5 linked regions of the Cricetulus griseus genome follow. Each later gene encodes a partner of the first gene's protein in a complex. Links are inferred from orthologs where the notes say so. Each region holds a gene or a part of one and is shown in the gene's direction. Other genes may lie near its edges. The genes, in order: Tada3, Kat14, Mbip, Taf6l and Tada2b.

What was found.
Region 2: Tada3 (region 1) and Kat14 share a complex: the UniProt entries of both Homo sapiens proteins name them as parts of the ADA2A-containing complex. The link is inferred for Cricetulus griseus from reciprocal best matches to the Homo sapiens genes TADA3 and KAT14.
Region 3: Tada3 (region 1) and Mbip share a complex: the UniProt entries of both Homo sapiens proteins name them as parts of the ADA2A-containing complex. The link is inferred for Cricetulus griseus from reciprocal best matches to the Homo sapiens genes TADA3 and MBIP.
Region 4: Tada3 (region 1) and Taf6l share a complex: the UniProt entries of both Homo sapiens proteins name them as parts of the STAGA transcription coactivator-HAT complex. The link is inferred for Cricetulus griseus from reciprocal best matches to the Homo sapiens genes TADA3 and TAF6L.
Region 5: Tada3 (region 1) and Tada2b share a complex: the UniProt entries of both Homo sapiens proteins name them as parts of the TFTC-HAT complex. The link is inferred for Cricetulus griseus from reciprocal best matches to the Homo sapiens genes TADA3 and TADA2B.

Annotation. Positions count from the first base shown.
Region 1 is NC_048601.1:31,429,589-31,433,099, forward strand, and holds part of Tada3 (transcriptional adapter 3), read left to right. Parts: exon of another isoform or gene 1-73; intron 74-456; coding exon 457-566; intron 567-1,117; coding exon 1,118-1,303; intron 1,304-3,304; coding exon 3,305-3,497; 3' UTR 3,498-3,511. UniProt on the Homo sapiens protein: Functions as a component of the PCAF complex. The PCAF complex is capable of efficiently acetylating histones in a nucleosomal context. The PCAF complex could be considered as the human version of the yeast SAGA complex.
Region 2 is NC_048599.1:34,630,511-34,634,544, reverse strand, and holds the start of Kat14 (cysteine-rich protein 2-binding protein), read left to right. Parts: upstream 1-1,223; 5' UTR 1,224-1,252; coding exon 1,253-1,514; intron 1,515-3,525; coding exon 3,526-3,644; intron 3,645-4,034. Other genes in the region: protein PET117 homolog, mitochondrial, read left to right, coding at 836-982. UniProt on the Homo sapiens protein: Component of the ATAC complex, a complex with histone acetyltransferase activity on histones H3 and H4. May function as a scaffold for the ATAC complex to promote ATAC complex stability. Has also weak histone acetyltransferase activity toward histone H4.
Region 3 is NC_048598.1:146,084,869-146,089,077, forward strand, and holds the start of Mbip (MAP3K12-binding inhibitory protein 1), read left to right. Parts: upstream 1-1,399; 5' UTR 1,400-1,462; coding exon 1,463-1,591; intron 1,592-4,209. UniProt on the Homo sapiens protein: Inhibits the MAP3K12 activity to induce the activation of the JNK/SAPK pathway. Component of the ATAC complex, a complex with histone acetyltransferase activity on histones H3 and H4.
Region 4 is NC_048596.1:51,305,608-51,309,898, forward strand, and holds the start of Taf6l (TAF6-like RNA polymerase II p300/CBP-associated factor-associated factor 65 kDa subunit 6L), read left to right. Parts: upstream 1-1,481; 5' UTR 1,482-1,629; intron 1,630-1,723; exon of another isoform or gene 1,724-1,779; intron 1,780-3,051; 5' UTR 3,052-3,100; coding exon 3,101-3,108; intron 3,109-4,291. UniProt on the Homo sapiens protein: Functions as a component of the PCAF complex. The PCAF complex is capable of efficiently acetylating histones in a nucleosomal context. The PCAF complex could be considered as the human version of the yeast SAGA complex.
Region 5 is NW_023276807.1:105,487,185-105,491,180, reverse strand, and holds the start of Tada2b (transcriptional adapter 2-beta), read left to right. Parts: upstream 1-1,186; 5' UTR 1,187-1,270; coding exon 1,271-1,540; intron 1,541-3,996. Other genes in the region: Ccdc96 (coiled-coil domain-containing protein 96), read right to left, coding at 1-674. UniProt on the Homo sapiens protein: Coactivates PAX5-dependent transcription together with either SMARCA4 or GCN5L2.

The DNA of each region.
Region 1 (3,511 bases):
TTCCAATGAAGAATTTGTCCCATGAGTCCATCTGACTGCAGTGGAGCCTGGGAAATGTAGTGTAGCTCAGCTGCTGTGGAGGAAAAAACAGTGCTAGGTTATTTCCTTGTCACTGTTTCTCTTGTGTCCCCTTCTTTTGCTGTCCATATTCCCCTCCCCTCAATAAAAGAATTTCTATAATGATCAAAGCTTTGGAGGAAGCTTTTTTTGTTTTTGTTTTTTGAGACAGGAGCCTGTCCTGGAACTTACTCTGTAGACCAGACTGGCTTCGAACTCACAGAGATCTGCCTGCCTCTGCCTCCTCAGTGCTGGAATTGGAGGAAGCTTTTTAACATGAGTGGGATGAAAAGATGGCAGACTATTTCTATCTAGCCTATAAAGACTGTGTATGTCAGAGAGGAGCATTAAAACAGGGATTCTATTGCTTCCTCCTTCTAACCTATCTCTGGTCTTCAGGAAAATATTATTTCCCCTATGGAGGACTCTCCTATTCCTGACATGTCTGGGAAAGAATCAGGGGCTGATGGCGCAAGCACCTCTCCCCGAAATCAGAACAAACCCTTCAGGTGAGTGACATACCATCTGCACTCTGGGCGTGACTGTCAGCTTCTCTCTGTCTTCTTAGGGGGGCATGCTTTGTAAACAGAGGCTGGGGCCATTTGACCATGCACAGACATCTGGCTATACAGATGTTTGCACAGCACATGGAAGTGCTGGCCTCGATTCTGGACAGGCTTAGTACAGACTTGATCATACCTTTGCCTTTCCTGGAGATAACCCAAGTGTCCAGCTGAAGGGAATGGCTAGTTGAGTGCTAAAACTGCATAAGAAATAACTTGTAACTGCTAATCATTACAGAAATATACTTGACATGAAAGAATTAAAACAGAGTACCAAATGGGGGGAAAGGAGTAATCCTATTTGTACTTAAACTATATTTAAGAGTTACATATAGTTTTAAAAAATCTTGGAAATATATATCATAAAAGATTGCAACTCACACATAACAAGGCCTGAAACATATATGTGTGGCTATATGGGTTCACCTTGCCAGACTGGGATCCTCTGAGGGCCCTCCAGCTGGCGCTCAGAGCTCAGGTGCTGGCCTTGCCTACAGTGTGCCCCACACCAAGTCCTTGGAGAGCCGCATCAAGGAGGAGCTGATTGCACAGGGCCTCCTGGAGTCCGAGGACCGGCCTGCTGAGGACTCAGAGGATGAGGTCCTCGCTGAGCTGCGCAAACGGCAGGCTGAGCTGAAGGCACTCAGTGCACACAACCGCACCAAGAAGCATGACCTGCTGAGGTGAGTGAGCACTGTGCCAGGGACTAGCCCTATCCCCCAGTTGGATCTCTGATGGATGCTAAGTCCAGGGACAGGGCTCTAGCACCCACAACTGACATATGGATGGGTCTGTGAATATGAGTGCAGGTGTCTGTGGTGTCAGCTGCCCTGCAGTTGATGAAGTTACTGGTTTTTGCCAGACGCCCAATGTAGGTGCTGGGAACTAAACCCCAGTCCTCTGCAAGAGTAGTACACACTTAACCACTGAGCCATCTCTTCAGCCCTGACTCCATTGATAAGCATAATTTAGTAATATTTACAGTGTTAAGTTGCTTTTGTTTTTTTTTTTTAAATGTGTGTTTTCTTTCTTTTTTTCAAGACAGGGTTTCTCTGTGTAACCTTGGCTGTTCTGGAACTCACCCAGTAGACCAGGCTGGCCTCAAACTCACTGAGATCCACCTGCCTTTGCCGCCCAAGTGCTGGGATGTGCTACCTCCACCACTACCTGGCTGTGTTTTCTTTTTCTTTATGGTATTATTCAATCAAAATACCACAGAGGCACTGGGAAGATCTGCAGTGGGGAAAATGCTTGCCACCAAGCCTGACCTCTTGCGTTCAGTCTACAGCACCCACATGAAAGCTGGCCACAGCAGAACATATCTGTAACCCCAGTGCTTGGGTGGGCAGAGAGGCAAGCCTAGCAGAATAGGCCATTTCTCAGTGGGTAAAGGCACTTACCACCAAGCCTGGCCACTTGATTTCAATCCCTAAAACCTAAAACCCAGATGATAGAGAAAGAAAACCAACTCCTGCAAGTTGTCCTCTAGCCTCCACATGCACACCATGGCATATAACCCTCTAGTGAATACCTAAGCTACAGGAAAAATAAATAAGGCGAAGCATGATAAAGAAAGATCCAGTATCAACCTCTGGCCTCCACATGCATGCACATATACATGTGCAATATGAAGACGTATACATATAACATACATAAAAAACATCATAGAGAAAATAATGAATATCAGTATGCTCAGACATATGAGTTGCTAATGTTCTCTTAGCTGTCTATGGCTTTGATTGGCTGGTCACCCCACACTTACTAGTGTCTTAGAATCAGTCATAGTGTCATTCATTTTATATCAACTCCCATCTGACTTTCCTTGCACTGGTGACAAGGGTAGAGATTACATGTGAAGGGCATTGGTAGGAGCTGCCCTTTTGTTAGCACTCAAGCAAGACTTCTTGTTCCTCTTAGAGCCTTGACAAAGCAGGTTCTTGATTACCTGGCTAGCTCTTACTGTGTCTGACCTGGTGCTGGGCCAGGAAGAAGGCAGAAGGAGACTCCTGTTCTCTTAGGTGGTCGGAGGAGACACGCCATTCAGAGGGGAGGGGCAGCTGCTGCTGAGCTTTATGGGGATCTGAGGATAAAGAAACCATGGTGCCCACTGTCTGCTAGGGTCTTGTGTACCTTCTTTCTTCTAAGACAAGCAAGCTGGGAGGTGGTAGCACACACCTTTAATCCCAGTACTTGGGAGGCATAGGTAGGCGGATCTCTGAGGCCAACCTGGTCTACAAAGAGTTCCAGGATAGCCAGCAATGTTACACAGAGAATCCCTGTCTCAAAACAACAACAAAATAAAAAGTTCCCTTTCAAGGGCAAGGAGCAGCAAGGGTAGGACCAAACGAGATTAAAAACAATGCTGTGTAGTTCCAGAGGTATGGCTTGCTGTGGAAATGTTTTGGTGCTGAAGCTCAGCCCTGGGCCCTGCTGTGCTCCAGCTACTGGACTGTGGGCAAGGTACTTTGGGCCCAAGCAACAAGGATTAGATTTCCTAGAGACCTTCAGCTCCACCATCAGTGGGACTGAGTCAGATCCCCACAGGATTGAAGAAGCTCAGTGCAGCTGTGCACATCTGTAATTCTAATAAGCAGAGGGGAATGAGAGCCGGGATTGTGAGGAGGCTCAGTTTGGAAGAGGATGATAACTGGAGATTGGATAACCATGATACTTGGCCCCCATAGGTTGGCAAAGGAGGAGGTGAGCCGGCAGGAGCTGAGACAGCGGGTCCGCATGGCAGACAATGAGGTCATGGATGCCTTTCGCAAGATCATGGCTGCCCGGCAGAAGAAGCGCACCCCTACAAAGAAGGAAAAGGACCAGGCCTGGAAAACCCTGAAAGAACGAGAGAGCATCCTGAAGCTCCTGGACGGGTAGCATCACCTGCTGCT
Region 2 (4,034 bases), on another chromosome or scaffold:
AGAGTTCGCCACCACCGCCTAAAACTAGCTCTTGGTCTCGAACTCACAGAGATCCACCTGCCTCTGCCTCCCTAGTGCTGAGATTAAAGGTGTGAACCACCACCGCCTGGCTTAGAATTAAAGTTTTTAAAGTGAAAAAGTAAAAATAATAATCTCATGAAGTTTCTGTTAAAAATGTACTCTTGTGAGCTACAAACTATAAAATATTTGTAATAGTGACTAAGTGGAGATTTTAAATTTCATGCTAGGCCAGGGTTCACACTCTGAGATTCTGTTTTTAGAGTTTATCAAGGTAATGACCATTGAGGAACTTACTTTTTCACTGATAATAGTCCTTTTTTTTTTTTCAAATTTTTAATCAAATTGATTGGAAATTTTATGTCTCTGACTTTTCATGATAGAAGCCCATTATTTTCTCACATTCTTCCTGTCTGTTTTTTCTCTTGATGTTTGTTGTCTGTCTCAGGTCATTGATTATAGGAAGGTAGTTCACAGTTTTGCTGTACCAACTCATCACCTTTTAGAAGTATCACTTAGCAATTACATTTATAAAATCCAACAGAGTGTCTGTTTTATTATTAATTCCCACTAAGTTTTCTGTGTTCAGGGATTTCTTAAAACGTGGTAAGAAGTCACTTCAGTATTAGCATAACACATTACATGATTTACTTGGTGGTTTCTTTATTTACAATGTACAGAAGTTAAAATAGTAATTGGGTATTTGGAATCGGAACATTTTGAGTGTATTTTGGTGGTGCTGTTATTTAGATTTGGAGGCACAGGATGGGAGCCACCTGTTCAGGGGGTAACTAAAATCTGCTTCTTACGTTTTTAGAGGCTTCGTGACGGAGTGATCAGAGACATTGAGAGGCAGAATCAGAAAAAAGAAAACATTCGTCTTTTGGGAGAACAGATTATTTTGACTAAGCAACTTGAAGCAGAAAGAGAGAAGATGTTGGAAAGAGGATCTCAAAACACTTGACTGTGAAAATTGATGGGGCAGTGCTGGGTGTATGTGTGTGTGTGTATGTGGGTGTGTGTTGATAGAGAATAGCTAGTGAAAGCCGTCCCCTCCCCCATCACTGTCCATTTAAACTTTATTAAATAAAGGACAGTGGATCCTGTCTTCTAAATAATTCTTTTAAGAGTCTGTTCTGTCTGGATAAAGTACTCGTGGGCAGATGCTCTTCTGAAGTTGTCTGGGGGATTCTGCAGCAGTCCCTGTCAGCTTAGGTGTGCTTGTGAGCAGGGAATGATGGAGAGTAACATCCACCTGAGTGGTCTGCTCAGTCGGCATGATGATGAAGCCACAAGAACATCCACCTCAGAAGGGCTGGAGGAAGGTGAGGTGGAGGGAGAAACTCTCCTAATTGTTGAATCAGAGGATCAGGCGTCAGTGGACTTATCTCACGACCAGAGTGGGGACTCGCTTAACAGCGATGAAGGAGATGTATCATGGATGGAGGAGCAGCTGTCTTACTTCTGTGACAAGTGCCAGAAGTGGATCCCAGCCAGTAAGGAGCTTCTCAATTCCTTTGATCGGTCGATCCCTGTGTGATGGTTTGTTTTCCAGTCTGTGAAAAACACTAATAAAATAGACTTGAAAAAAAGATAATTATATTTATTATTACTAGTGTAGTTTACCAAATGTAAATTTGTATCAAACCACATTATTTTGTTTTTAGTTTTTTAAAGACTCATTTGTTTTATATGTATGTGTATGTGCCTGAGTGTATGAGCACCATGTTCCTGCAGTGCTTGCAGAGGTCAGAGGAGAGGAGCTGTAATTACACATGGTTGTAAGCCACTGTGTGGGTGCAAGGAACTGAACACACATCCTCTGCAAGGGTAGTAAGTGCTCTTAACTGCCAAGCCAGCTCTCCGGCCTCACAAAACCATATTTGTATTAATTAAAATTGTCAACCACTATCCCATTGTTAAATTAACATTCAGGGTGGTAGCCCAAGAAAAACTAGGAATCCTATGTCACTTAAGGAATTGGCCATATTTTTCTAAGATTATGCTGTGGGTTGAGGGACACATTCTGTTGTTGCCAGTATAGAATTAAAGGTTCAAGTTCACATAACTTACCGTGTTAATTTGACATTTGTGGAAACTGCTGTTCTCTTCTGATGGGAGGTAAGAATTGGCAGTGCAAAGGTGTTTGCTTCCTGCCTTTGGTCCAGGTTTATTTTCTACTGTGGGCCTTTTATCTGCTGGAAGGAGTCACAATGCACAGATCTTGAGGTTTCTGGCTGCCTGTTTCATAGCATGCTTTGTCAGCCATCATGATTCTTACCTACACAGCATTTTCCATTAGGCAAGAGACAGAAGGCATGTGCACTGGAGGAACACTTTGTGTAAGGGTTCATAGTTGGTGAAATGGAGGTATTAATTCACTTAGCAAAGTTGGTTATTTTCTGGTATGTAGAAGCTTTTGTTAAAAATGGATCCAATTGTTCAAATTAATAGCTACTATAAATAGGTTAATAGTAACAGTTCATAGAAAACAAACCTAGAATTGACTACCGTTTTTGATTCTCAGCTATCTAGTAAAGCTGGGTTCCACTCCAAATTTCTGGCTTTCCTGTTGTCCTCCCAGGGTAAATTTTAAGGTGACTTTCATGATTGGTCTCTGCTAACTTTTTCAGGGAGGTAGGTGAACATTTCATTCTTTCTAAATAACGCTTGGTTCCTAGGACTTTGTACCTTTTTGTTTTCTCTGGAATACTCACCTGGACTGCTTCCCTGCACTCCTGATCCACATGCAACCTTCCCTTGGGCCCAGGAGACCCCTCTTCCCTCCCTAGTGGGGTTGGACATCTCTTTTTCTTCCTATGCCTTACACTGCCCAGTGATGTATATTATAGTCTACTCTGGAAGTTTTCATGGTACACAAAGCATCAGCATCACCTAGGAGCTTTAATGTAGAGCCCAGACCCAGGCTCAGAGGCAAGCATTTCATCTGGGGCAGACAAGGCCATAGCAGGGATATTAAGCCCAGCCACCTGGTGATTCTGATGCTCCACGAGAATCCAGAATCAGTGCAGTTGTGCATACCTGTGTTCTCTGCTGCCTCCAGATTTATGAGTCCATGAGAACAGGCGCTGGTCATGTCTGCCTTAGACATTGCATATCCAGCTCCTAGCCTGGTGCCTGGCTGGTAGTACAAGCTCAGGTATTCCCGGAAAGAATGTTTGAAGAGACCTGCCTAGAGGAGTCAGGAATGTGGCTACTGGGAAATCCAGTTAGAGCAATCTTACCTGCTTTTCCAGGACCTTTCTCCTGAAAAGCTAAGGAGCCACGGGTTCTAGGAGGGGCATGTGCCTGACTTTAGAAGGAGAAACACCTTTTTTCCTCTCCTCTGCTACTGTCCTGGGTTGGCTGCAGAAAACAAAAAAGCCTTCCATGGGAAACTTGGAAATCTGGTCAATTAACTGAGCCTTTGGGTTGCCACTGCATGAGATAAACCCATGATGTGACTTTTGTTTTTGTATTTGTTGTTGTTTTTTTTTTTCCCCATAGGTCAGCTGAGGGAACAGCTCAGTTACCTTAAGGGCGATAACTTTTTCAGGTTTACTTGTTCCGATTGCTCAGCAGATGGCAAGGAGCAGTACGAGCGGCTGAAGCTGACGTGGCAGCAAGTGAGTACCAAGCGCTTCTCTTAGATGCAGCAGGTTGGATGCCCAAGAAATTGGAATGATTATCTGGAGTGGTTTGGGGGTGGGGTGCTTCACACTTCACAATGAAAAGGGGTACATTGTGTGGAAAGAACACTTCGTGGCTTAAAAAAAAAAAAAAAATCCTCACTCCTGATTTATTGAATTCTTGAGAATCTGAATCAGTTTCGTTTGTGTCATACCAAGCTTAGATTCAACTGAAAACCAGGCCCACATTTTCTGGCAGTCATTTCTGGCATAATAAAACCAGAGGTGGCTACACTGGAAATAGATTTGGCAGAAACAGTTTGACTTGATAACAAAGACAAAGTAACAACTGGTTTAGCCTTCCTGCATTTGCACTTGGAAGCAAGT
Region 3 (4,209 bases), on another chromosome or scaffold:
CTTCTAATCTCTTTGGGCACCTACACACACACACACACACACACACACACACACACACACAACTAAAAAAATTGTGAAACTAAAAGCTTGGGTTTCAAAATCAGTTATGACAAAGAAAAGAATGGGCAGTACCTTAATCACTCTCAAAATGTGTAATAAAAGTCCTCTATTGCCTAAAAAATCCAAAGATCATTACTTGGTATAGAACAAGGACTCTTAGATTCCACATTACAATTATCCCCCATTAACAAGTGAATCAGAGACAAAAATGTGCTAACATTACAACAAATTGTGAATTTCTTTTAGTTATAAGGACAAGTGACTGGAATGAGAGGGTTGCTTGATTTGAGTTTCAATCTCTGTCACCAAACAGGTGTTCTACCGGCTTCAGATCTTACTGCTAGCAAGGACACAGACAAGCTTTCTTGCTATGTCTGATGATCCCAGACATCTTTGGAAATAACTGAGTAAAAGGCTCTGTAGAGACAGGTCAAAGGAGTGCTTTCATTTTTACTATCCTTATCCCGGTGTCCCTTGGTTCCTTATTTCTTCCTTCATTCAGCTTCTTCTCAACTCTATAGAATACACTTTAGGTCCATACCTCTACTTCCTGTATACTAGCCCTGGCTGTCCTGCAACATGGTCAGTAGACCAAGCTTATCTCTTAAGCTTGTTTTAAAATTTTAACAGAATTCTACATTATAAAATTATAACTCTTTCGTTATAATAAAGCTATCTAATAATACCCGGCAAGTGTCGATTTAGTTTTCTATCTCAATTTCGACTAATATGAAATTAGTTGGTTTAAAGTTCTATTGGATTTATTTGAAACAATTTTAGGATTGAGTGTCCATTGAGTGTCCACTGAGAAACTGTTGCATTAGAAACTTGACAAACTATTTTACAGTTATAGTCATCAATGTCGTTTCCTGACAAAGGAGGCATAATGTAGGCTTTTCAGTTTTTCTTACATTCTTCGCGTCAAACAACCCTGTAGAGATGAAAATGTTCTATCCAGTTATGATCATCCTGGGTATGAATTTTCCAGTATTCAGACACGTGAGCCCCGTTCCATCGCTGACCCTCAACCTTGTCCCAACTCCAAGTCGCCATGTTAACATTTTAAATTTTAATAGAGGGACTCAATTTCTAACACTTAACAGTAAGGCTCTTCCGGCACTCACGGGGAGCGTCTAAGAGCCAAGGTAGACTTCTAAGCCATAGCCACCCACGCAAAACATCACCAAACAGAGGGTCCGCCTGCGCTACACAGAACCTCCGAGTTCAGACGCCTTGCTCTTGATTGGTCTCGGTGCCTGTCTGTCACATAGAGAGAGTGGGGCCTACCCTCACATCCAAATAAGACGCGGTAGTTTTACGTCATCTCAGCGCGACGGAATCCGCGCGGGAGGGGAGGGGGCGAGCCGTCTTGGCCGCGCTTGGGGGCTGCTGCGAAGGTGTCATGGCTGCTGCTGCGGAGCCCAGTGCCTCAAGCTGCAGCGAGAGGAACCTGGAGCGAAGCTCCAGCCCCCTTCTCACCCGCGAGGTGCTCTGCGAGCTCTTTCGTTCCCTGCACACCCTGACTGGGCAGGTAAGTGAAGGTGCGGCGGGGGTGGGGAGCATCCCGGTCCTCTCTCCGGAGTCCTCCCTCGTCGCGGAGTCCTCCCGCATCGCGTCTGCGGCTAGGATGCCGAGGCCGCGGCCGCCGGGACCGGGAGGAGCGGGAGCCCAGTTGCCTGGGGCCGGGAGCGGCCGGCTGCACACTCGGTGACCACGCGTGAGTACCGAGGGCGAGAGGAAACACGGGTCCTGGCGCCGAACTCTTGCAGAAAATCAATGCATGAGAGATGGCAGGGTTAAGGAGGCTCCTGGAGCTGACTGTGGTTTTTCCTCCCCTGTTTTAATTCGTCGGTTAGTATGGCCTGAAACTTTTCCTACCTCCATCTCCACTCTTTAGGGGGTGATTTACTCTGGGTTTTTATTTGTTTCTCATCATTTATTTGCATCTGTCATACCCTTTGAAACGGTGCGGGGGGCTGTAAGAATTTCTAAAATATAACTAACTTGTAATGTGCCTAGATTTTAGTGTAAATTGTTGGATGATTTGAATGTATGACCAGCTCTACCGTCTTTACTAGTGTCGTGTGACTATTAACTAATCGCTCTTACAGAAATGCCATAGTAAAACTGGATTTTAAAAAGGAGGTTCCTTCACTTTATTAGATAAAGCCATTCATGATATAATGAAGCTTATTTTTAATAAGGAGCAAAAGTATGTTTGCTTGCTTTTAAAAATATTTTATGTCAAACTGTTTCCTAGTTTGATTGGGGGCTGGTCTAGTGCATGTGGTACCTCTGACAATAGGGCATTTACCTGATTTGTGAGAATTATTTTTAAAACCCTTAGATGGATGAATAATTGATCTTGTAAAAAGTTATTTTAGTAAAAATTTTAAAACCTTAGTACGTTTATTTTGCCTGGCAAACTACTTTCATTTGTACATTCAGTTCGGTGTTATGAGGCAGTTAATAGTGGTCTTCTAAAATTAAAACTTTAAAATCAATTGTTTAATGAGCATTAGTAAATTTTTTCCCAAGTCTTAAAGACTTTGTTTAAATTAACATTTCAGTGATAATATTCCAGATCTTTAAATAGTTCAAAAGTCAAAGAACTTTTTGGCATGGATTTGGAACTTAAAGACTTAATCATTAATATTCTAATGTCCAGATGAGAAAAATATTCTCAGCCTTTGTGTTTAGAAGTTGCAAAAATAATGTACATTGATAAATGATTTGAACATCTAAAGTATTCTGCATATTGATTTTTTCAAAGTTATATAAATTTATACCAAAGGTTCAAATGGAAAAAACGATTCAATCTTAACTTATGCCACCTGCCAACAAATGTAACATAGTTAAAGGGACCTTTATACAAGTGTCAATATAAGATTTTTTTTAAATCAATTAAATGCTGTTTTAGTATTATTGTGTATTTTGAGATTATGATTTAAGCCATACACACATGTAAGTTGCCCCTAGGCAACTTGTGTCCTTTTGCAACAAATTAAAAGGATTTTTAAGATGTAAATTGTAATTATTAGTTCATTGTAAATATCATTGAATTATTAGTGCTTTTCAAAAGAAAGTATAAAACTGAATTGTAAAAAGTATTTTTTTCTCCAAATGCAAAATACACTTACATTAACCTTTTTTCTTTCCTCTCATTGGCCCATGTTATCAAGCTAAAGATTTGTTAGCTTGTTTTTTTTTTTTTTTTTTTTTGTATTAGTTTCTACTGAACATTCATAACTGATTAATCTAGTGTATTAATAGAAAAATTTGAATGTCAAGAGCTATGGGGTAAAATGCATAAAGGAATTTGCTGAATGAAAAATTGGATGTATTTGGGGGTCATTTTTGAATTATGACATTATTGTTTGATTTTTCATGGAAGACCAACTATCTTGAGTTGCCTTTGAAGACTTACATAATTCTGCTGAATTGACATAGAATATTATCCAGCCATTAAGATTTCTTTTCTATAGTTATTTTCTTTAAAGAATGTGATGCTTTCCTCAGGTTTAAAGATTACTTGTTTTTTTTATTCTTCAAGCCATTTAAATTTGCCATAGTCAACTGTATGTCTCTTGGAGAACTGTAAACACATGCTGATGGATTGCTTTCATACACATTATTAAATACAGTAATCTTATTAATCTTAATGTCAAATCTTAACTTAGTTGTAAGCTTATCTTTGCCAGTATAGTCTATGTAAAATTTCATATTTCTTTATGTCTGTCAAATAAGGACTTGAAATGGTTCTGGTCTCAGCAGTAAATGTTTGTATCCATTGTACACGAAAGTGCTTACTTTGGGAACTTGGGATTTCTTTGGTTCCGTAGACAGTGATTCACGTTTTGGTTTTTTATTTTTAACAACTCATTAGATTGATAGTTGAATTCATGAAACGTGTATCTTTACTTTGTGGAAAATATGACTAGTTGCCAATAAATTATTCTTGCAAAATACAGTTAACTTCCTTCCACTATGCGGTATGTACTTATACAATGTACTTATACAATAGGTGTCCTTAGAAAAGTTTATAGGGATTCCTTCATACTCAGTCAGTGATTACAGGTGGAGCTTCTCCTCTCCCACTAAAGTTTTGACTGATTTTGATATTAATTTTATATTCAGGTTCTTGGTATT
Region 4 (4,291 bases), on another chromosome or scaffold:
CCTAGTGAATGTCTGAAATAAAGCAATTTTTCTTCTTCTTTTTTTTTTTTTTTTTTTTTTTTTTTTTTTTTGAGACAGGGTTTCTCTGTGTAGCCTTGGTTATCCTGGAATTCACAGAGATCTGCCTGCTTCTGCCTCCCTAGTGCTTGGATTAAAAGTGTGCGGCTGCCACCGCCACCTGGTTGAAATAAAGCAATTTGATCTTTGCAAGCACTAGGTATCTGGGGAGTGAGAGGATACTTCTGTGCGGGGGACCATGTTGGCAAGCCAATGACACACTGACTGAATGTATTCACCAAAGACCAGACTGACAGAAATGGAAGATTTAACAGGAGACACCACCAACGCTGGAGGTGTGGGAATTCAAAGATTGCACCTGACATAATGTGTTCCCAGTGTTAGCTCTTTACAGGGTTTAATGGAAATTTCTTAGGTCTGACAGGTGGGACACTTGTGGGAGGGAGCTCCATCTTGCTTAGGTGACATGACATTGTTGAGGACTAACTTTTACAGAGTGGGATGCCTGCAGTTGGGACTGGCCATCTGTCCGATGCAGGCATGTGCTATTAGGGGTCAAACTTGTGAAAGTGTAAATCTGCTCATTAGACGGTGGAATTCTCTGTATGATAATCAGGTTATGCAAGATAAAGTGTAGTCAGGGCTCCCCTCCCTCTTCCCTTCCTTTCCTGGGACTCACTCTGTAGACCATGCTGGCCTCGAACTCACAGAGTGCTGGGATTAAAGGCGTGTGCAACTATCGCCTGGCTGTACCTTCTGATTTTTGCTTCTCACGATGTGCCTCCCACCCCCAAAGCTGGCTTCAGACTCTCTGTGTAGACCAGGCTGGTCTCGAACAAACAAAAATCCTCCTGCCTTTGCTTCCTCAGTGCTGAGATTGAAGGTGTGCACCACCACACCCGGCCAGAGGTCCCTTCTGTCCACGGGGAAACATCTCCTGGGCCCCCATCTATTCTTCTGGGAAGGGGAAAAAGTAGCAGTTGCTGTTGGGGGCATTATTATTATTATTATTATTATTATTATTATTATTATTATTTATTTTCGAGACAGGGTTTCTCTGTGTAGCTTTGGAGCCTATCCTGGCACTCGCTCTGTAGACTAAGCTGGTCTTGTACTCACAGAGATCCACCTGCCTCTGCCCCCCGAGTGCTGGGATTAAAGGCGTGTGCCACCAACGCCCGGCTTGTTGGGGGCATTAAGCTAAGTCATGTACCGAAAGCTTTACTGTGATCCAAAAAACTTGTATACTCTGGGATAGCCGACTCAAGGGATGGAGGACTGTCTCTATGGAGAAGGTGTTAACTCCAGGCAACCCCGGGCACAGCACCTGCTAGCCAAACAAGAGCTGCTGCTTTAAGAAGCGCTATTCACGTGACCAACGACGCCTCGGTGCCTTCTCCACATATTCACACTGACCAATCCTGAGGCGGGACGGCCGCTGGTGGGCGGGAAGCTCAGGAGACAGCTGCCGATTGGCTCCGCGTACTGAGGGCGGAGCCTGGGCTCCGAGAGAGGGAATTAGCGAGAGCCGGTGAGTGGAAGCCGCCGCCGCCGCCGCCGCCTCCGCCGCCTCCCCGGTAGGCAGGGTCCTCGCATCGCCGGAGTCCGCAGGTGAGCAGGCTTCTTCGCGTCCGTGCTGGGCTGCTCACCAGCCTCGGGGCCCGCGGGGGCCCGCCCGCCCGCCTCACCGAGCACGTGACACAAGTTCCGTAACCCTTGACCTCCCCACTCCACCCCACGCCCTCTGGATCTGGGATGAAGGTGGGTCGGAGGATGCGCAACCCACAGGCCCGAGGAGGCCGGTTCTCACGCTTCCTGGTCAGCACTGGGAACTGAGGCTGTGCAAGACCTTGGTCACAGTCAGGACTTTGAGGTCTCAATAGGGGAACATAATAGAGCAACTCCCTACTGGCTTTTCAAATGCTCACGACTGAGTGCTCCCATTTTACAGATGGGAAAACTGAAGGGTACTCATCCCATCCAGTGGTGAATCTAAAGGTGGGACTTGGGTTACAAAGCCAGGCCTAGTTCAAACATAAGCCTGCTCCTGGTATATATATAGCATCCTGAGTATATTTTGGTTTTTCGAGACAGGTTTTCTCTGTGGCTTTGGAGGCTGTCCTGGAGCTCACTCTTGAGACCAGTCTGGTCTCGAACTCACAGATCCCCCCCGCCTATGCCTCCCGAGTGCTGGAATCAAAGGCGTGCGCCGCCACTGCCCAGCATCTGAGTTAATTTAAAACAAGGGTTTGAGTCCCTGACATCTAATTACTCAATGCTTGCTGGCTTGTCTTGGACAATCTAGGTAACCTTTCTGAGCTATCTCTCGTGGCTTTGTAAACTAGACAAAAATGTACACTATCTATCTTGTTAGCGAGGATAGGAGGAGGTCATAGAGTGTTGCTACTTGGAAGCCACAAACATTTATGTGCTTAGAGCTGGGGGCTGGAGAGATGACTCAGAGGTTACGAGCACTGCTGCTCTTCCAGAGATTCTGAGTTCAATTCCCAGCAACCACGTAGTGGCTCACAACCATCTGTAGTGGGATTCTGATGCGCTCTTCTGGCATAAAGGTGTACATGCAGACAGAGCACTCATTCATAAAATAATAAATCTTTAAAAAACCAAACAAAATAAATAAGACATATTTTTTAAAATTCGGCAGAGAAATAGCTGGGCTGAAGAGATGGCTCAGCAGTTAAGAGCACTGGCTGCTCTTGCAGATGACCCAGGTTTGATTCCCAGCACCCACATGGCAGCTCACAACTGTCTATAACTCCAGTTATAGGGGATCTGTCACCTCACACAGACATAACACAGGCAAAACACCAGTGCACATAAAAATAAGTTAAAGAAAAAAAAAAGAAAAATAGTTATTCTAGGCCAGGAGTAGTGGTGCACATGTTTAATCCCAGCATTGGGGAGGCAGAGGCAGGAAGTTTGAGGCTAGCCTGATCTACAGAGAGAGTTCCAGGGCTAAATAGAGAGACTTTGTCTCCAAAACAAATGAATACCTGCTCTTTCTTTTTTCAGCAGGTGTTAATGAAGGCATAATATGTGCTGACATTGCTGGTCGCTTGGGATGCAAAGGTGAGCACACAGACCATGATCTTTGCTGGTGTGCAGCTTACAGTCTACTAGGGACCACACGCTGGTCCCCAGTGCCGCTTTAAAAAGAGTGGGAATGATGGCGAAAAGCTGTGTGTAGTGAGCTTGCAGCCCGCCCCAGCATGCCAAGATAGGTGGTGGGTTCCTGGAGCTTGCTGACCAGCCAGCCTAAGCTAATCTGTGGACCTCAGGTTCCAGTGCGAGACCCTGTCTGAAAAAATAAAGTGGACAGCTCCTCAGGGGGTATGTTACCCAAGGTTGTCTTCTGTAAACTCATACACAAAAGCTATGCAGCTGTGTAGTTACAGACTGTTTGAACCTAGGGCTCACACATGCTCGGAAATATTTCTACAACTGAGTTGTATCTTCAGTCTTCTTTCTTTAATTTTTTTTTCTTTCTTTTTTTTTTTTTTGAGACAGGGTTTCTCTGTATTGCTTTGGAGGTTGTCTTAGAACTCGCTCTGTAGACCAGGCTGGCCTGGAACTCAGAGATCCGCCTACCTCTGCCTCCTGAGTGCTGGGATTAAAGGCGTGAGCCACCAATGCCTGGCTTCTTTACTTCTTTTCTTTTCTTTTTGTGTGTGTGTTTTAGTTTTTCTTTTCTTTCTTTCTTTCTTTTTTTTTTTTTTTTGGTTTGTCGAGACAGGGTTTCTCTGTGGCTTTGGAGGCTGTCCTGGAACTAGCTCTTGTAGACCAGGCTGGTCTCGAACTCAGAGATGTATCTGCCTTGCTTTCTGAATGCTGGGATTAAGGGTGTGCACCATCACTTCAGCTCCAGTCTTCTTTTTACATTTTATTTTGAGATAGTCTGAGTTGTTAGGGTAACCTTGAACTCACTTCATAGTTCAAGTGGGCTTTGAACTATCCATGCTCCTGCCTCAGAGTTGCTTTAAAAACAAATGATGGGGACATTTACACAATCTGGGAAGAGCTTCCTTAGCAAGTGACATCTGAACTATGATCTGAAGGGGGTAAGTGATTGATCGAGATTTGGGGAGAACAACAAAGAAGGAGAGTGTCAGACAGAAGCAGCAGAATGGATTGAGGCCTTGAAATAAGGAATTGAAAGGTAGCCACATGTAGACACACAGAACACAAGGGAAGAAGCAGTGAGTTTTGCAGATAGACGGCGCATGCATAGCCTTTCTAGCGTGGGCCGGTTTTA
Region 5 (3,996 bases), on another chromosome or scaffold:
TCATCCTCTTTGCTTTTCTTGTGTTGTTCTCGACCTGTCGCCCGGATCTCCTCGCTACCTCGCTTCTGCTCTGACTCCTTTGCTTTCTCTTTCTCAGCCTGTGGGGCTGGAGCAGCCGCCTCCTCGACGATCGTGGTCAGTGGCAGGGAGGGCCGGAACCGTGACTCCTTGCTCTTCACCTTCTTCACCTTGTCCTGCTTCTCCCGCCCGGCGGGTTCCTCATCCTCGTCCTCGTCCTCGTCTTCATCCTCGTCTTCGTCTTCGTCCCCCTCCTGGAACTCCCGCTCGGTCTCGGGATGCGGCTCTGACAGACTTTCTGGCTCTCGGGACACGGCCTCGCTCGCAGCCTCTGCTGTCTCGCTCGCAGCCGTAGCGGCCTCCAGACTTTCCTCGACATGAGCGTCATCACTCCCCTCCAAAACCTCTGCTTCAGTGTCGTCCGCAACAGGTTGGGTCTCCGCCTCAGACTCTGGCTCTGGCTCCGGCTCCGGCTCCGGCTCCGGCTCCGGCTCCGGCTCCGGCTCCGGCTCCGGCCCGGGCTCTGGCTCCGGCTCCGCAGGGTCGGCCGGGGTCTGAGGTTCAGGTTCGGAGCTGACCTTGGTCTCGGACGACTGCCTGGTCGGGGCTTCCTCAGTTCCTCCTTCGCCCTCGGTATCCCCGTCGTGGCTGTCCATGCTCGACCCGCAGTCTCAGGTCTGAGGACCGCGGCCGCCTGCTGTTAGGTTTCCCGGGGCAACCAGGGCGCGCGCGGTGGGCCCCGCGATTGGTCGTCCGCCTTCCTTTTCTCTCCGCCTCCCAGCAATATTAAGCCAATGAAGGACAACGAACAGGTGAATGTAAGCGCTGATTGGACACTGTCTCTTGAGAGGTGTGGCGCAGCAGACCGGCTTCCGGTCTGCGCCTTGCCGGCTGTCAGGTTTGGGGCGGGGCCTTACGGCTTCGTGAGTCCATGAGGCGGAGGGAGGCAGCGGCGCGCAGGCGCAGATCGGAGGCTCGGCTGCCCGCAAGAGGGCGCGCGCGGGGCGCCTGCGCGATGCGGCGGGGAGACGGCGGCGACGGCGGCGGCTGCCGGGCCGGGCCGGAGGGCGCCTGCGTGCTGAGGCGGGACGCGGCCCGCCTGGCGGGCTCCGGCGGCGCCTGGGCGGGGACGGCCGTGGCAGCGGCCGGCAGCAGCGCGGGCGCGGTGGGCGCAGTGGGCTCGACAGGCGGCGGGGCGCTGACGGCCGGAGGCGCGGCGACTGCGGGCCGGGCGGCGGGCGAGCGGGGGAAGATGGCGGAGCTGGGTAAGAAGTACTGCGTGTACTGCCTGGCCGAGGTGAGCCCGCTGCGCTTCCGCTGCACCGAGTGCCAGGACATCGAGCTGTGCCCCGAGTGCTTCTCGGCTGGCGCGGAGATCGGCCACCACCGCCGCTACCACGGTTACCAGCTGGTGGACGGTGGACGATTCACTCTCTGGGGGCCTGAGGCGGAGGGCGGCTGGACCAGCCGCGAGGAGCAGCTGCTGTTGGACGCCATCGAGCAGTTCGGCTTCGGCAACTGGGTGAGCGGCGGGCCCTGACTAGAAGGAAGGCATGGCTGGCTGGTTTGGTGCACGCTGCGGCGGGCCGCAGGTGGCCGGACGGGATCGCCCAGAGAATGCTGGGCGCCCATGGCTACACAGCTGGTAGAGCAGAGCCTTGACCCGTGGCCCCTACACCGAGCTGTCTGCCCTTCACACTCGTCCTCAGAATGTGTGCATTGAACGCAGGCGGAGGGCAGGCCCTGTACCTTGCCAAGCTTCTACTCGAGCCAGATGGCAGCAATCGAGACCCTGCTGTCCCTTCTGAGTTCCCTGGTAGGGTTGGGTTCTCCTGGGCACAGTGATGAGGAAGGCTAGAAGCCTGGGCTGCCCATCCCGCATGCACTTAGTCTGCATTCAGGGCTTCGAGTGCTTTCTGTGGGTGTCAGCATGTGACCTGAGCTAGGGTTCTCCGTGGGTAGCAGTGCCTTGTTTAATTCTTGCTCTCTACAGCACCCAGGACATAGTGTGAGAGGTGGCCAGTAAAGAATGAACAAAGGCCTCTCAGTGAGGAGGCATGTAACCAGGAGTCTGCTTTCTAGCTGTCAGGTTTCAGTAGATGTGTCTTGCTGGTGGCAGGAGCTTTGGTGTGCCAGCCAGATAGTGTGCTGGTCTCCTGGTTGTTCTCTAGGGATCTCTAAGGAGCTTTCCTTCTATTCCTCACCTTTATTAGGGAAGAACTCTGTCTTTGTCACCATTACCGCCAGGCACATATAGTATCTTCAGGCTTTCAAAGAAAAGGGAGCTAAGTATGACCCTGTTCTGTCCAGACTCTTTCCCGGTATGGTTGGGTACTGCTTCTCTAAGCTTCCCTACTCCAGCCATACTGCCTTACTATTCCAGGTCATCATATGCAGTGAGTGACCTTTTGGACCCACCTCCCCCACCTAGGAAAGATTCTACTTTACAGATACTTTCCTGATGGCCAACACCTTGACTCCTGCTCTCCAAAAACATCTGGTTGCTTTGCCTATAAGTGGTGTTGTTGGTGTATATTGAGCATTTGATTTGTATAGATCAGGCAGCATGAAACACCCTGAAGAAGAGCCTCAGAACTGAAAATGTTGCATTCGTTTGTTCTGTTCCTCTAGCTTGTCTCTACCTGATGACATCCATTCCTCTCTATATCATTGCCCATGGTGACCCAGCCTCACTTTGTGCTCAGCTACAGAGTCAACTTAAAACCTTCATCTACATCTAGTTGTTTAGCTGTCATCTATTTTTAAAAATGTGCCGAATGTAGCTGCTAATTCTGGTCTGAACCACGCTGACATTTACCTCTTACTGTTTTAACATCTCATGGTTTACCTGCTTTCTCCTTGTGTTCTATAGCTCTTCTCACACACCAACACAGGTCTTTTGAAACATAAGCTGTATCTCTTTGGCTCTCAGCAACTTCCAGTTCTACTTAGATTACATTACAATGCCTGCAAGGCCTGACAACATCTATGGTTCCCTGTGATCTCATGCTTACTCTCTTGATGAGTTTTCCTTTCTTCTGCCTACAGTGCTTTCACCCTAGTCAAGACTACTGACTGATCTTTGTCCTTATGTGTCATTGCTTCAGAGAGACGTTTCTTCCTCACATCATTCCTCCAGCACTATCTCTAGAGTAGCCACTGAAAAGAGTGAGAGTGTTAGTTTTGGGGAGCCCACTGCTGACCTTGTTTTATCTCCTGAAACTGGGCTGGCTATACCAAGTGGAAGAAGAGGCAGAAAGAGTGTAAGAGCCAGAGGGGGGAAGAGGACACAAAGAGACAAGGCCCTTGTAATCAAGTGAGCACAGCTCATGTGAACTCACAGACTGAAGCAGCAAGCACAGGGCCAACATGGGTCTGTACCACATCTCTGCATTTATATTATAGCTTTCAGTTTAGTATTTTTATGGGTCTCCTGAGTATGTGAACGAGTGGGTCGCTGATTCTTGTCACTTCTCTTGGGGCTCTTTTTCTTCATTGGTTTGACTTGTCCAACTTCGATGTGATGGTTTTTATTCTATCTTATTATATTTTATTTTGCTAAAGAAAAGAAAGGAAATCTTGGGCTGTAGAGTCCGCACCTCAACTAGTGTTTGTGCTGCATTGGTGTAGCACAGTCAGAAGCACATAGCACCCAGGCATGGAAGCATGTAAAATGTGGATGAATAAACAGGCTGGATGGGAAGGCCTCTTCTGAAGCAGCACTTTCAGGCTTTAAGGCCAGAGGAACTTGAGTCAAGATGCAGGTTCTCATGAGGTCCAGGCTCAGCTTTGGAAGAAGTAAAGCTCAAGAGGAAGAGTCTTGGGACTTGGCTGCCTGTGTGTAGTTCATGGACTGCTACCTGCTGAAGCAGCAAGAGTCTCAGGGCCGGTCTGAGAGATGCAACCACTGATCCTCACACAGAAAGAGGAGGCTCTGTGACTCTGCTATCTGTGCTCTCCTAGACCGGTTGCTTTATT